Linked DNA regions of Oryzias latipes. The protein of the gene in region 2 interacts with the protein of the main gene of each other region in a biochemical or structural test. Links are inferred from orthologs where the notes say so. Each region holds a gene or a part of one and is shown on either strand. Other genes may lie near its edges. The genes, in order: btk and ibtk.

Region 1 (6,113 bases), on a different chromosome or scaffold from region 2:
CTAGGGGTGGGCCGATATAGTTTTCCCCTGCAGCTGTGGCCAATAGCTGAAATGTGCCAATATCTAAGAGTCTATAGTTACACAAATTTAGATTTCCTTTTTGTTTCTAAAATAGAAATGCACAACTTTTCCTTTACTGGACAAACACATTGTACTACACCTTTTTGACATACAGCAAAGGATCTGATAGGAACAAGTATCATTTTAAAACTTTTATATAAATATATCTGCAAGGATTCAGACCATTTATTGACTAATGGGCATAACTGTAAACCATAAGCTCCCCATTGCCAGGGATGAACGTCACATACTTGATTAAACCGTAATTAACATCGATATACATATATAATCAATATACATGACTATAAATTAGTAATATATCAATGGTAATTAAATATCGTTTGACTAACAACGTCTAAATGGTAGTTCAAGACATATACCTGTTTTTTTTTATATACGTCCACTTCCGGTTAAATAAGATAAACAATGTTCTCCACAAGAAATTAACTCTTGTTTTATTTGGGGCTTTTTGTTACAAGCAGAGAACAATAAAGCTTTATCAAAACAACATCTGAACCTGGAAAACGTGCACGGCGATGACGTTCTCTCCGAGTTCACAAACGGACCGGTATTTGCCTAAAACGCGGGATCACGTTAGGTTATACACAAACACCAAAGGTCAACATCTAAAATAAACCTTTAAACAAAACTTCACAAACGTTTCCTGCTTCTGTTTTATTGCTGTTTTAGATGCAAACGGGTGCGCTGTCGAAAAGCTCTGCTTACCCAGCAAACCTCCGTCATTTGATGCACAAGCTGCTGAAACCTCTGCTTCTGAGACTCGATTTCGATGAAATGTTGAAGCTGAGGGTCAGCGGTTGCTCCTTGCCCGTCCATAGTTTCTTCAAATATGTTGTTGTAGCTCTATTCTTTATATTAATTATAGAAATATGTTGCCGAGTTTGCTGACCTTCACGTGTGTGAATGAACGACGGGAAGCCGGAAGTGATTCAGCCAATCACACAACGCGTTTGTGGGGCCGCATACGTAAGCGGTCAACGTTTATATATTGCTAAATTTCATATTCACAAAATTAAATTTGCTAACAAAAAAACAGGATTCTTCTTACTGAAATTTGAACTGTAGCAATATTCAAATTGATCCCGCTTCAATAAATAAAAAGGCTCAAAAAACGGTTAACATCTCAAAGTCTTTTGTATGACACAAGTTAACTCACGCATTTCTATTTTTATTTACGTATTTATTTCCGTATGTGATTGATTTATTTGGTTATTATTGATCACCAATTTCTCTAAAAATTTATATTACTTATAATTTTGTTCTCAATAGTTAATAATTTCAAAAGATCAAAACAATGTTGTTTTGTAGTTAGAACTGCGTTTTATTCTTGTATTGTTATAAATGTTGAATTTTGCATTATATTCTGCAAATGTTCAAATAAACAATATTTAAAATTTATGAAAATTGCTGCAAAACATCATGTTATACAAAAATGTAAACAGTGAAGTTATGTTTAGATTTGGATAATATTAAACCAAAAGAGACCGTTTTAAACACAAAACCCCAAACATTTGAAAGCCTAGCATACTTGGCTTTATTTGTGCAAAACATAAGCTTACACTGCATTAAAAAAACAAATCGAACTAAATGTTGTCTACATTCCAGACAGACTTACACTCAAAGGAAAAGATAATAGTTGTCAGAGATAAGTGGAAATATGGACAGTCCAGCTGAATGCATTTTTACAAATAAAATGTAAAAGCAAGTGAGTAATTGTGATATTTTGACAGTCAAATATTCACATTACAGAGGATATTTGTATGGTCTTTGAGCCCTGTATTCAAACTGGTAACAGTTTTTATGATTGTGTTTATCTTCCAGGAACAGACAGAGATGCTGCGCTGTGGAGGTGGGTCTGAGGTCTACTGGAGCTCATACAGAAGATCCTGGACAATCAGCACCAGGTCTTGAAAGGTGGGCCTTTCGTCTGGTTTCTAAGTGTAAAGCAAAGAGCAACATTTCTAATAATACTGAAATGATTTTTCGTTTCGAATTCTTTGCGGGAGTTAAAATAAAATTCGACGGCTCACTTACATCATGCCAGCAGCTTGTCATAATTTTGTAGACTCTTTCGTTGGCCAGCTGAGGGCGGTAGAGACGGAAGCCATGTGAAACCTGGTCCACAATTTCTGAGTTGTTGAGGCGTTCATATGGAAGTCTACCCAAAGTGTACACCTCCCACATCAGCACCCCTGATAAAGAGCGAGCAGTAAGCATGTTATAGCACAATGTGGCTCAGTCGACAGTGACCAAGAACTAATAAGCAGTTTGTGTTAAACCTCCCACCGTAAGCCCAGATGTCTGACTTGCTGCTGAATTTGCTGTAGAGGAGGACTTCAGGGGGAGACCATCGAACTGGGAACTTTGAGCCAACAGAACTTGTGTACTCATCATCTAAAACGTATCTGATGACATTGAAAAGGGGTTTCATTGTTTTTGCTTTGACTCGTGTCCCGTTTGTGCATCAGAAACCAGGAAGGGTTTTACCTTGATAGACCAAAGTCAGTCACTTTGACTGTGCCATTTGCATCTACTAAGCAGTTCCTGGCAGCCTGCAGATAAAACAGTGCCCTTGATTCAAGGATAATCATTAAATGTAGCAGTGTTATCTTGTAAACTCAAACTGCTGGTTATCTTGACACAGTGTGGGAATGCTGCTAGGTGTTTTTTTTTTCCACTCAGAAACAGTAGATCTTTGTCTCTCACCAGGTCTCTGTGGATATACTGCTGTGACTCGAGGTAGGCCATGCCCTCAGATACATCCTTACACATCTCCAAGAGCTGGTCGGCAGTTGGGTGCTGGATCAGGCCTTCCTTGAGATATGTCAGCAGACACCCATTTGCAAGAAACTCAGTCACGATATAAATAGGTCTCTGCTTGGTGCAGACACCGTACAGCTGCACCAGGTTCTCATGGCGAAGCTTCCTGGTTTGAGCAAAAAGAGAAGGAAGTTCATTTGGTTTTTCTCAGAGGTTTTGAAAACTACATTCACCACCTGGATGTTCCTTGACGGGGTTTAGCTGTGCTTACATCATGATTTTGGCTTCCTCAATGAAATCATCTTCTGACATGGAGCCCTCTTTAATCATCTTGATGGCTACGTCGTGCTGGCCCTGCCATTTCCCATACTTCACCACTCCAAACTGGCCCGTGCCGAGCTCTTTGATGAAGGTGAGGTAGTGGGGGTCAATCTCCCACACGCCTGGAGGAAATAGAAGTTCAGATTAAATAGGTCCTTTTGTGATTGCAGGCTTTTTTACCCCCACACAAGAACTTAAACTTAAACTCTAATCGAACCCTCCGAGGATCTTTGGCACTTAAATTGCTCGCAAAGAAATAAATAGTTGATTCATCATCAAATGTTAAAAAAAAAGGATTTAGAGTCTGCTACAGATATACTCTTACCATAGCCGAGTCCTGCCGTTGACGGAGGTCGCGCCCGATTAGACACAATATGCTTCAGCCTGCAAACCATACCTGGAGATAAGAAAAGCAGCTGAAACCTCCTCACTTAGGTTGACAGTTTGATAGCAACGGTGACAGATGCATGGAGGACAGTAGTTTGCTGTACTGCCATTAGGTTTAAAAATAGGTAAAAGGAACGCCGCAGGAAACGTGGCACATTATCGAACCAAATCTGCATTTTTTAATGTGTTTTGTAACTTTCATCAAGTCCAATACCCAATCATGCAGCTTTCAACTTGTGCCTTCTTATATATAATTCAGTGGTCTTTTTTGTTTTGTTCACAAGGATGGTTTATTTAATATTCCCACTAACCACTGCAGTCTTTTAATGTAAAATGTGGTCTTCTTCATTTGCTTCTTTTTTTTTTTTTACAAAAATTTGTTTTTTCATGCTGTTTTGTTTTAAGCCCATTTCAGTCTGTGGTGTTAACATATAGAATGAACTGGTGTCAGTGGACTCAAAAGAAATTCAAAATTCTAATCGCAATCATAATGAAGTTTTAGTCAAGATTATTTATTTCTGCTGATATTTTGGTAAAGGTTTCTCAGGGTTTCCCGCTGTTGAGTAATTTCCTGTTAGCATGAGCTGGCTCTATTTATACTGTTTTGCATACTGGTCTACAGGGCTCCATCTGTGCCGTGGCGGGACTGACCGGCGGCATTGTGCTGATGATAGTTGATGAGCTCTGGGATGGTGTCAAAGTTGTGCTTCTCTGACAGATAAAACTGGCCCTGTGGGGTTGTGCAGATGTTGTAATGTCTGCAGCTTCCACCTGTTTCCCTGTAGAGAAAAAAAAAAGTGAAATCGAGTGCCAGCAGATCCAGCTGAAGGGTAGTCATCCACATCGTATCTTAGTGTCCACATCTTCTTATTCTTATAACTGTTATTTTATTATTTTATGTGCTGCTTGCACTGTGGGGTGAGAGTGCCCACAGTGCTGGGCTGTATGTCTTGTGTATGCAGAATATTTGACAATAAAGCTAACTTTGACTTTGACTTTGACAGTAACTATATTACAGTTTATCCTCAGAGTAAACCACAGTACAGATCAGCTTAAATAGTAAGATTAGCCCAAATTTGGCATAAAAAGATTTACATCTTTCTCTCTGCGACCAGCCGTTTCCGCTTTCATTTTGCACAGTTCTTCTTTTCATAAGTTTACACATGACTGACGCCAAAGGAGCAACCATAAAAAAATGGTGGCAGTGTTTCCACAAGTTTACTCACGCGCCACTCTTGGCAAATAAAGATACGGTGTATTTCCCAGCTTTGCTTGAGTCCCGCACCAAGAAACCGCCGTCTTTGTTCTGAAAGTGAACATTTTAAGAGTTTCAGAAAAAAAGTTCTGGTTCTAGTTCGGAAGGAAACAAAAAAAACATGCTGTAGTCGCAGCATTTATTTACCTCAGACTTTAACAGCTGTTCTGCTTGACTGCGGTTCATGTTCTTGCAGTACCAACTGTCGAAAACAACAGAACTGTCTTTTTCTTACTGCTTTTTACCTCCAGAATTCATGAAATTGGCAATTAAATACATCTGTGCCAATCTGATACAACGCATAAACATTTATCATTTTAAATTAAACATTTGAAAGTCTTAGAAACAGAACATAACCATTTTCAGGGCAGAAAGGTGGTACTCACTGAAATCTTTCAAGGCCGGACTCTGCTTCTGCAACATAATTACTTGGTATGTAGCCTTCTTTCCTGTAAAATATAATCAAGATCTCTTATTGCAATTAGTAGAATATTTTTTAGGTATTTGTCAAAACAAATTCAAATATTACTATATTTTCTGCACTGTAAGGCACACTTAAAATTTGCTTTAATTATTTTCAAACCCAGAACGCCTTATATGCGGATTCATTCTGCTTGTGTTTACTGATGTCAAAGGGATTTTTAGAGGTACACGGTGTTTTTGTGAATACACACTAGTGCTGCTAATGTGTAGCGGTGTCGGACTGTGTTTTTTTTTCTGTTACTGTACTAACTAAGTTGGGAGTTAGTGTAATCACAGTAACGTTTGTTTTTAGAGATATCAGTTTGGTTTTTTTATGTTTCAAACAAGGTTGGGAGTTACAGATGTTGTGAGCACGCCAACACAGCTAACGTGTAGCGTGCTATAAACAAGTTCTAGAATTACTGTGACCTCAGTTAGTAAAGTCTGACTGATGAATTTATCTCTAACACTTTTGTCTTGCCTTATTTATGACACAAGCTCAAACATACACCATTCATTGACGGTGCGCCTTCTGATCTTTTGCGCCCTATAGTGTGGAAAATTCTATCTGCCTTCCATCTGTAATGCCTTAATTTAATTTTTAGACTTTTACTGCTGTGAGCAAAGAGAAATAAGTAGCGTTTTTAGCATACAAATACAAATGTGTTTGTAAGGGTCCAAAGTAAAGTGGTTTATGTTATTCTTTATTTGGCATCTTCTGACCCGTATTTGTCTCTGGCTCTCCACCAGTTGGGGTCTGACTTCTCCAGAATGGTGTACTCCTCATTCGTCCTCAGCTCCAGGTCTTGGGCTGTCATGGGCGTGTAATCATACTCAGCTATGACAG
Region 2 (6,902 bases):
GAGACAGTGTCACGGTGTGATCGACTTTCAAGTTTTTACCTGAAAAAACCCTTGATGCTGATTTGTTGACAGGAGTTAGGGGGGGTCTGAAAACTGTTGGTGGAAGTTGGTGTTGTGGGCGTCTGGGAGAGAGCCCCCTCCTCCTGCAACATACAGTCTTGAAAGTCTTAGTTGTGACAGGAAAGCACTGAGTTGATTTAACAATGCAACTAGTTAAATAATTACTACTAATTTTAAGGTGATATCCTACAACTGTTGTAGATGTGAGCAGAGAAAATAAATCAAAGGTGAAAATGACCTCCGTCCGGATATCAAAGACAGGTGACTGCATGTCTCTGGGACTGCCTGCTCCCATGCAGCTGCCGTCCGAGTCTGACGTCAGGAGCTCCTGCAGGGACTCTGTCGAGTTGGCCTTGGCCGACTTCACCAAGAGTGGAGACACAACTGCCTCAAAGGGACAGCACGACCGTCAAGTTGTGAGCTTTTATTTACCTACTAGCTTCCCTGTGTGGGACTTTACCCGCAGCAGGAGGGCTGTGGATGATATCAGAAAGGGTGTAACCTCCTGAACTGTCAGAGCGCCGCCTTGGTTTCTTTTTGGCTTTTATTTTGGCCTTTTTTAACACGATTTCCCTGAAAACGAGGAGACAAAACATACATTGGTACCGATTTCCCTTTGCAGGTTTTATCACAACACATTTATCAACAGTCTGATGCATCTGCTTTGTTTCCTGAAACCAGCCACTACAACAGCATCCCCCTAAAATAGAGATTCTGCAGTTCATTCATTAGTGCTTTGTGTTTTCCAGGTTGTAAGCAGAGACGTCTCCAGTATTTTACTCTGCTGTTTAAGTGGAGAATCTTCCACATCCATAAAGAAATAAATCCTTTTCAGCTTTGTAGAAAATAGGTCGTACCTGCATGACAGATCCAATTCTGTCTCCGGCTTGGTACCGAAGGCAGAGTCCAAATCCTCCTCCTCATACAGGCTGAGGTCTGGAGCATCAGGATAGGGAGTGATGACTCGCTTCTGCATCGCTGGGATCTAGAACCAGAACCACAACTCTGGGAAACTGAATCCACAGCACTTGAAAGTTTTGAAAGCATCTGGGTGGGAGTTTCATCCTCTACACCGGTGTTTCTCCACCTTTTTTTGAGCCAAGGCACACTTTTTCCCTGACAAAAATCCTGCGGCACACCAGCAACAAAAAAGGTGAATAATCAATAGTCACTATTGATGTCCGGTCTCTGCATGACCTCGCGTGCATTTTTTGTAATAATTAAAGCACAAAAAGATCTGAAGTTGCAGCTGTTTTTCCTAAAGGTTCCAATGGTTTCCAATAACGACTTAACTAAATTTGTCAAAATTTAGTTAGTTACGTTTAAATTTTGGGATGACTCAATTGTTTCAGTTTAGTTTAAATGTGTCCGTTGAACACTTCACTTTATTTTTTTTCTTATATTTAAACTTAAATTCAGGTTTTTCAAAGGTGAATAAAGTCTGAAAGTGAATTTGTTCTTCAAGACAGACGATATTAGAAAGCAGTTCTTTCTTTTATAAAGATGACTTGGGCCAAAAACACTGGAATCTCTGATTTTAACTCCTTTGTTTTCAACCACAAACCTTGAAGGAGAACTGGACTATTTTCCTGCTTTCATCAAGATTTGCAGACTGTTAGAACAGATGCTGGCTTTCACAGCAGCGCAGTAAGAGATGCTGTCACGTGAACCCAATGCATCATGGGAGTTGCAGTGAAATGCAGCTGATGCTGAACTGACTCACATCTCTGAGCCTTGTTATTTTATTCACTCCTTAAGCGCTCTGACACCGGATCCCACGGGAAGCTACTAGGGGTGCGTGGCTGATCCGTACGGATCACCAGCCCCGGTTCTGCACAGGTGTGTGCCGCGGATTCCCCCCTCCCTCCGCAAGCTTCATTAAAAATCAATTGTCTGTTGACATCAAACGCGGGTCGCGTATTCCGATTATGTCATTATTATTCAGATATGACTCACCAGCCTCCTGTAGGCTGCAGAAAGCTCCACTAGGACCTCGTCACTGAGAACATCCAGAGCTCTAAATGATAAAGAAAAGAAAAAATAGAGAAGAATCCAGATTTTAAACATATTCGATTTTGAAAGAGTTTAGGTGATTTGGGGCTTTTCGTTAAGGAACATTGCTGTTCCCATTTTATCATTAAGAAGAGAGAATCAAGTTTGTTTATCAACTAGTTATGCATTTACAGTCTTATAGATAATAAAGTTTCTCTTTCTATTATTGCTAAATAAAGTTTTTCAGTTCAGTAAATTTTGCTTAAAAGCCGATAACAGAAGTAAAAGAAAAAGCAAAGTGCAGCTAAACTCTGCCTCCTGCAGCTTTGCATCTCACACCAAACTTCTCCTGCTTCCAGTCTCACAGTCGTTCAGAAAACCTGAAGCTCCTTTCTGAGCTGCTTTGTTTATAACTTAAGATGGAAGTGGTCTAAAGTGGGAAGCAGCTAAAGTAAAATGCTTCCTGCGCTGGACTCTGCCGATTCATTCCCATCAGACTCCATTCACACACGCTGCAGCTGGGCTGGCCTTCCTGTCGATGAAATGCCGTCTGGTTCTCACTTTGACTCCAGCAGAGCAGCCATGTTGAGAGCGATGAACTGGAGACAGGATAGTTTGAGCTGCTCTGCGTTGTACATGGTGGCAAACTCCAGCAGCTCTGCAGCATTCTTTAAGGTCACTGGAAAAAGAAATAAAAAAACATAGACACATGTCAAAGGGAATCAGGGATTCTCTCTTTACTTTCACACAGATTGGTTTTACAAACGATGCTCATGTCACCCGTGAGAGATTTAGTAAGAAGATTAAATCTGTTTGCATTTAAAGTCCCACTCCAATCGTATTTTGAGCTATTTTTTAAAGTGTTCCCAGTTGTATTTTAATTAGGATTCTGTTATTTTTAGGCACAATCAAAATACCTGTCACTTTTTAAGACAAAGTTTCTGCAGAGCGGCAGCAGTCCATTAGAAAATCGCCACTGAATTGTGGACAAGACTGTTGGCTCAGGAACCTCCGCTGATTTCACAGCATGCCTTTGTTAACACAATGTCCTGCTAGCTTACAGCCCCTAACAACCCCAAGCTAACATTAACAGTGGAAAAAAAATGGCGAGCAATATAGGAGCTATCCAGCCAGACAGTTTTCATCCAGACTCAAGGTCAGATGGGGAAAATAAAGATGTACATGGAACTATTTGTCTGCAAGTAGATGCATCAGAATAGGAGCCTCTGGCCCGTCCGTTTCAGTTTCTACGTCACAACTGGGAGATTTTTCAAGCAACTTATTTTTCATCTGCAACGATTCAAATAAAGAAATACTCAGAAAAGCAAGTTTGATCTTAAATCCTTTAAATATGTCCTCCATCATGAGAAAAAAAGAAAAAATATGGAAAAAACCCACCAAAAACACGATTTTCATTGGTGTGGTTCTTTAAAAGCTTGTGAATATATTCAGTCTGCTGCTTTTCATCTTCAAATCCATTCAGTTTCTCCACTAAAAGGACATATTCCATTCACACCAAGAGCAAAGCGGTATCAGTCGGAGGAGGAAAAGATGAATACAACATACAGTTCTCTGTGATGACAACCTCACACATCTCCTTCAGCCTCGTGATGAGCAGCTGGTCAGCAACCACCAGCACGTTGCACACAAACTCCACATTCTGACACTCTGTTGGGGAAGGCGGGAAAAACTCTTAACTATCCCAAATGACAAATGATCACCTGGAATTTCAAAATGGGACTTTACCTTTAATGGTGGAGGACTCGTCAGTGTAAATGTACTCGAGAATGACCTGCAAAATCTCAGAGGTGGTCGGCATTTCCAGTGCTGAGCAGGAAGTTGCCTGAAAGGTGACAGAGGTGCAACCGAGTATGAAGCAGAAAATGCCGACAATGGCAACAGGCTTGGAATGCAGCGGTAAAAACATGAGCCTACCTCGATCCATGAGCTCCCAAGCATACTGCTGAAGTATTCTGCAGAAAACACAAGCTCGTTCCGTCACGGTTTCAAAAGATTCAAATGGTTTCAAAAATGTAACAAATACACTACAGACCAAACATTTGGACACACCTTCTCATTCTCATTATTTTCATGACTATGAAAATTGTAGATTCACAATGAAGGCATCAAAACTGTGAATTAACACATGTGGAATTATATATATAACAAAAAAGTGTAAAACAACTGAAAATATTTCATATTGTAGGTTCTTCAAAGTAGCTTTTGCTTTGATTACTGCTTTGCACACTCTTGGCATTCTCCTGATGAGCTTCAAGTGGTAGTCAACTGAAATTTGTATCATGGCAAGAAAAAAGCAGCTAAGTACAGAAAAACGAGTGACCATCATTACTTTAAGAAATGAAGGTCAGTCAGTCCGAAAATTGGAAAAGCTTTGAAAGTGTGTCCAAGGGCAGTCACAAAAACCATCAAGCGCTACAAAGAAACTGGCTCACATGCGGACCGCCCCAGGAAAGGAAGACCAAGAGTCACCTCTGCTGCAGAGGATAAGTTCATCCGAGTCACCAGCCTCAGAAATGGCAGGTTAACAGCAGCTCAGATTAGAGAGCAGGTCAATGGCACACAGAGTTCTAGCAGCAGACACATCTCTACAACAACTGTTACAAGGAGACTGTGTGAATCAGGCCTGCATGGTAGAATATCTGCTAGGAAACCACTGCTAAAGAAAGGCAACAAGCAGAAGAGACTTGTTTGGGCTAAAGAACACAAGGAATGGACATGAGACCAGTGGAAATCTGTGCTTTGGTCTGATGAGTCCAAATTAGAGATTTTTAGTTCCAACCACCGTGTCTTTGTGTGATGCAGAAAAGGTGAACGGATGGACTCTACATGCCTGGTTCCCACCGTGAAGCATGGAGGAGGAGGTGTGATGGTGTGGGGGTGCTTTGCTGGTGACACTGTTGGGGATTTATTCCAAATTGAAGGCGTACTGAACCAGCATGGCTACCACACCATTTTGCTGGACCATCATTTATTTTTCAACAGGACAATGACCCCAAACAGACCTCCAGGCTGTGTAAGAGCTATTTGACCAAGAAGGAGAGTGATGGGGGGCTGCGCCAGATGACCTGGCCTCCACAGTCACCGGACCTGAACCCAATGGAGATGGTTTGGGGTGAGCTGGACCGCAGAGTGAAGGCAAAAGGGCCAACAAGTGCTAAGCATCTCTGGGAACTCCTTTAAGACTGGTGGAGACCATTTCAGGTGACTTGAAGAGAATGCCAAGAGTGTGCAAAGCAGTAATCAAAGCAAATGGTGGCTACTATGAAGAACCTACAATATGACATAATTTCAGTTGTTTCATACTTTATGTATATAATTCCACATGTGTTAATTCATAGTTTTGATGCCTTTAGTGTGAATCTACAATGAAAACAAAGAAAACTCTTTGAATGAGAAGATTTGTCTAAACTTTTGGTCTGTACTGTATGCCAGAAAATACAAATAAAAATCTACTCATTTGGTCAAAAATATATACGGTAATATTTTAGTGATGTAACTATGTTAGAAGAAAACTGAAATAATTGTCACATTTATGATATGAATAAAAAAGGCTTTCTTATGGATTCTACCAAGTCGTGCACAGAGAACAGATTTGTGACATGGAAACTCCTTCCCATCTTCAGATTTCAGAGTGACATCACACAGATAAGAGCTGCAAACAGAGACACACAAAATTATGTCAACAGATGTCTTAAGATAAAAACGAACCAAAAACCACTAATAATTCATCAACACACCCTTTTTTCTGGTAGAATTTAGGTTTACTGCCGCTCTTCTTCTGCACAACAGAAATCCTTCCATTTTCATACCTGACGCCATCCAGTCTGCAGGAACCGAAAAAGATGTTAGAAAGGAACCATCAGTTCTTTCTGCAGCATGCTAGGAGCAGAAAAGACAGCCTCTTACCGTGCTGACAGGCTCCCCAGGCCCAGCTTTTTAGCAACAGCCTGTAAGCTTTTGACAGGGTTAGCCCCGCCCTCATTGGCTCCAGTCTTGTCCCCTTTGCCTCCTTTGGCCTTTTTGCCCACCTTGAGGCCCTTGTTCTTGGCCTTGTTGTTGTCCTCTTTGGTGGATGGGGAAAGGGAACGATAGACTTCAAGAGCCGAACGATCTCTCAGACCCAAAACCTGCAGACTGCTGATAAGCCTCCCCTGCTCTGAATCCTAGCCAAGCACACACAGTCGCAATCAATGATGAGTCAGAGGTGACAGGTCTTCCAGGGTAATGCAAGCTCAGTCACACATGGTTATCACAGCATTTAGTCCCTCTGAATTTCATTTCGTATGTGTTTACAAGTAGAATATTAAAGACGTTTGATATTTTATGTGAAAAATAAGCAACCTGGTTTTGTGCAGTCGGGACTCCTGAGGCTCTGGGCCGAGCCCCGTGCACCAGCAGCTCACAGGAGTCTGTGTACATGAAGCGCAGCGCGTATTCCAGCATGTCTGCGGGGATTTTTTCCAAAATGAGCAAATCACAGCCCACTGCATCTTCGCTCCTTCTGACTTCTTTATCGAGCTCCTCTTCATTTCCGCGGTGATCAGTCATAAACAGCTTCCTGAAGAAGTCTGATCTCATGGACAGGATGTACTTGTGAGCCGAGAAGGTGCGATTGCCAGCTTGCAGAGTCACGTCGTGGATGTTGTCAGTTTCATCTGCCTCCTCCAGAAGGCTCTGGAAGTGTTGGGAGAAGGTGGATGGAGAGATGCTGGGAACCTCGAAAAGGCTGGAAGTTAGGAAAAACAAAGATAAAACATTTATTAGATCGATTTCAGGTTAAACAAAGAAAAATTCCCAATCACATGCAATTAACAATGTAAGCTATAAGC

The links.
Region 1: the proteins of ibtk (region 2) and btk form a complex in vitro, tested with the Homo sapiens proteins (2 studies listed by BioGRID). The link is inferred for Oryzias latipes from reciprocal best matches to the Homo sapiens genes IBTK and BTK.

The regions. Positions count from the first base shown.
Region 1 is NC_019868.2:8,312,219-8,318,331, forward strand, and holds the end of btk (tyrosine-protein kinase BTK), read right to left. Parts: coding exon 5,990-6,113; intron 5,254-5,989; coding exon 5,191-5,253; intron 5,007-5,190; coding exon 4,952-5,006; intron 4,856-4,951; coding exon 4,776-4,855; intron 4,329-4,775; coding exon 4,201-4,328; intron 3,560-4,200; coding exon 3,488-3,559; intron 3,285-3,487; coding exon 3,113-3,284; intron 3,008-3,112; coding exon 2,788-3,007; intron 2,634-2,787; coding exon 2,569-2,633; intron 2,487-2,568; coding exon 2,368-2,486; intron 2,274-2,367; coding exon 2,116-2,273; intron 2,016-2,115; coding exon 1,944-2,015; 3' UTR 1,592-1,943; downstream 1-1,591. Other genes in the region: timm8a (mitochondrial import inner membrane translocase subunit Tim8 A), read right to left, coding at 787-897. UniProt on the Homo sapiens protein: Non-receptor tyrosine kinase indispensable for B lymphocyte development, differentiation and signaling. Binding of antigen to the B-cell antigen receptor (BCR) triggers signaling that ultimately leads to B-cell activation.
Region 2 is NC_019874.2:4,295,166-4,302,067, forward strand, and holds part of ibtk (inhibitor of Bruton tyrosine kinase), read right to left. Parts: intron 6,800-6,902; coding exon 6,415-6,799; intron 6,237-6,414; coding exon 5,980-6,236; intron 5,898-5,979; coding exon 5,811-5,897; intron 5,726-5,810; coding exon 5,643-5,725; intron 4,026-5,642; coding exon 3,988-4,025; intron 3,896-3,987; coding exon 3,799-3,895; intron 3,721-3,798; coding exon 3,619-3,720; intron 2,732-3,618; coding exon 2,614-2,731; intron 2,078-2,613; coding exon 2,017-2,077; intron 1,046-2,016; coding exon 918-1,045; intron 634-917; coding exon 521-633; intron 445-520; coding exon 299-444; intron 144-298; coding exon 40-143; intron 1-39. UniProt on the Homo sapiens protein: Acts as an inhibitor of BTK tyrosine kinase activity, thereby playing a role in B-cell development. Down-regulates BTK kinase activity, leading to interference with BTK-mediated calcium mobilization and NF-kappa-B-driven transcription.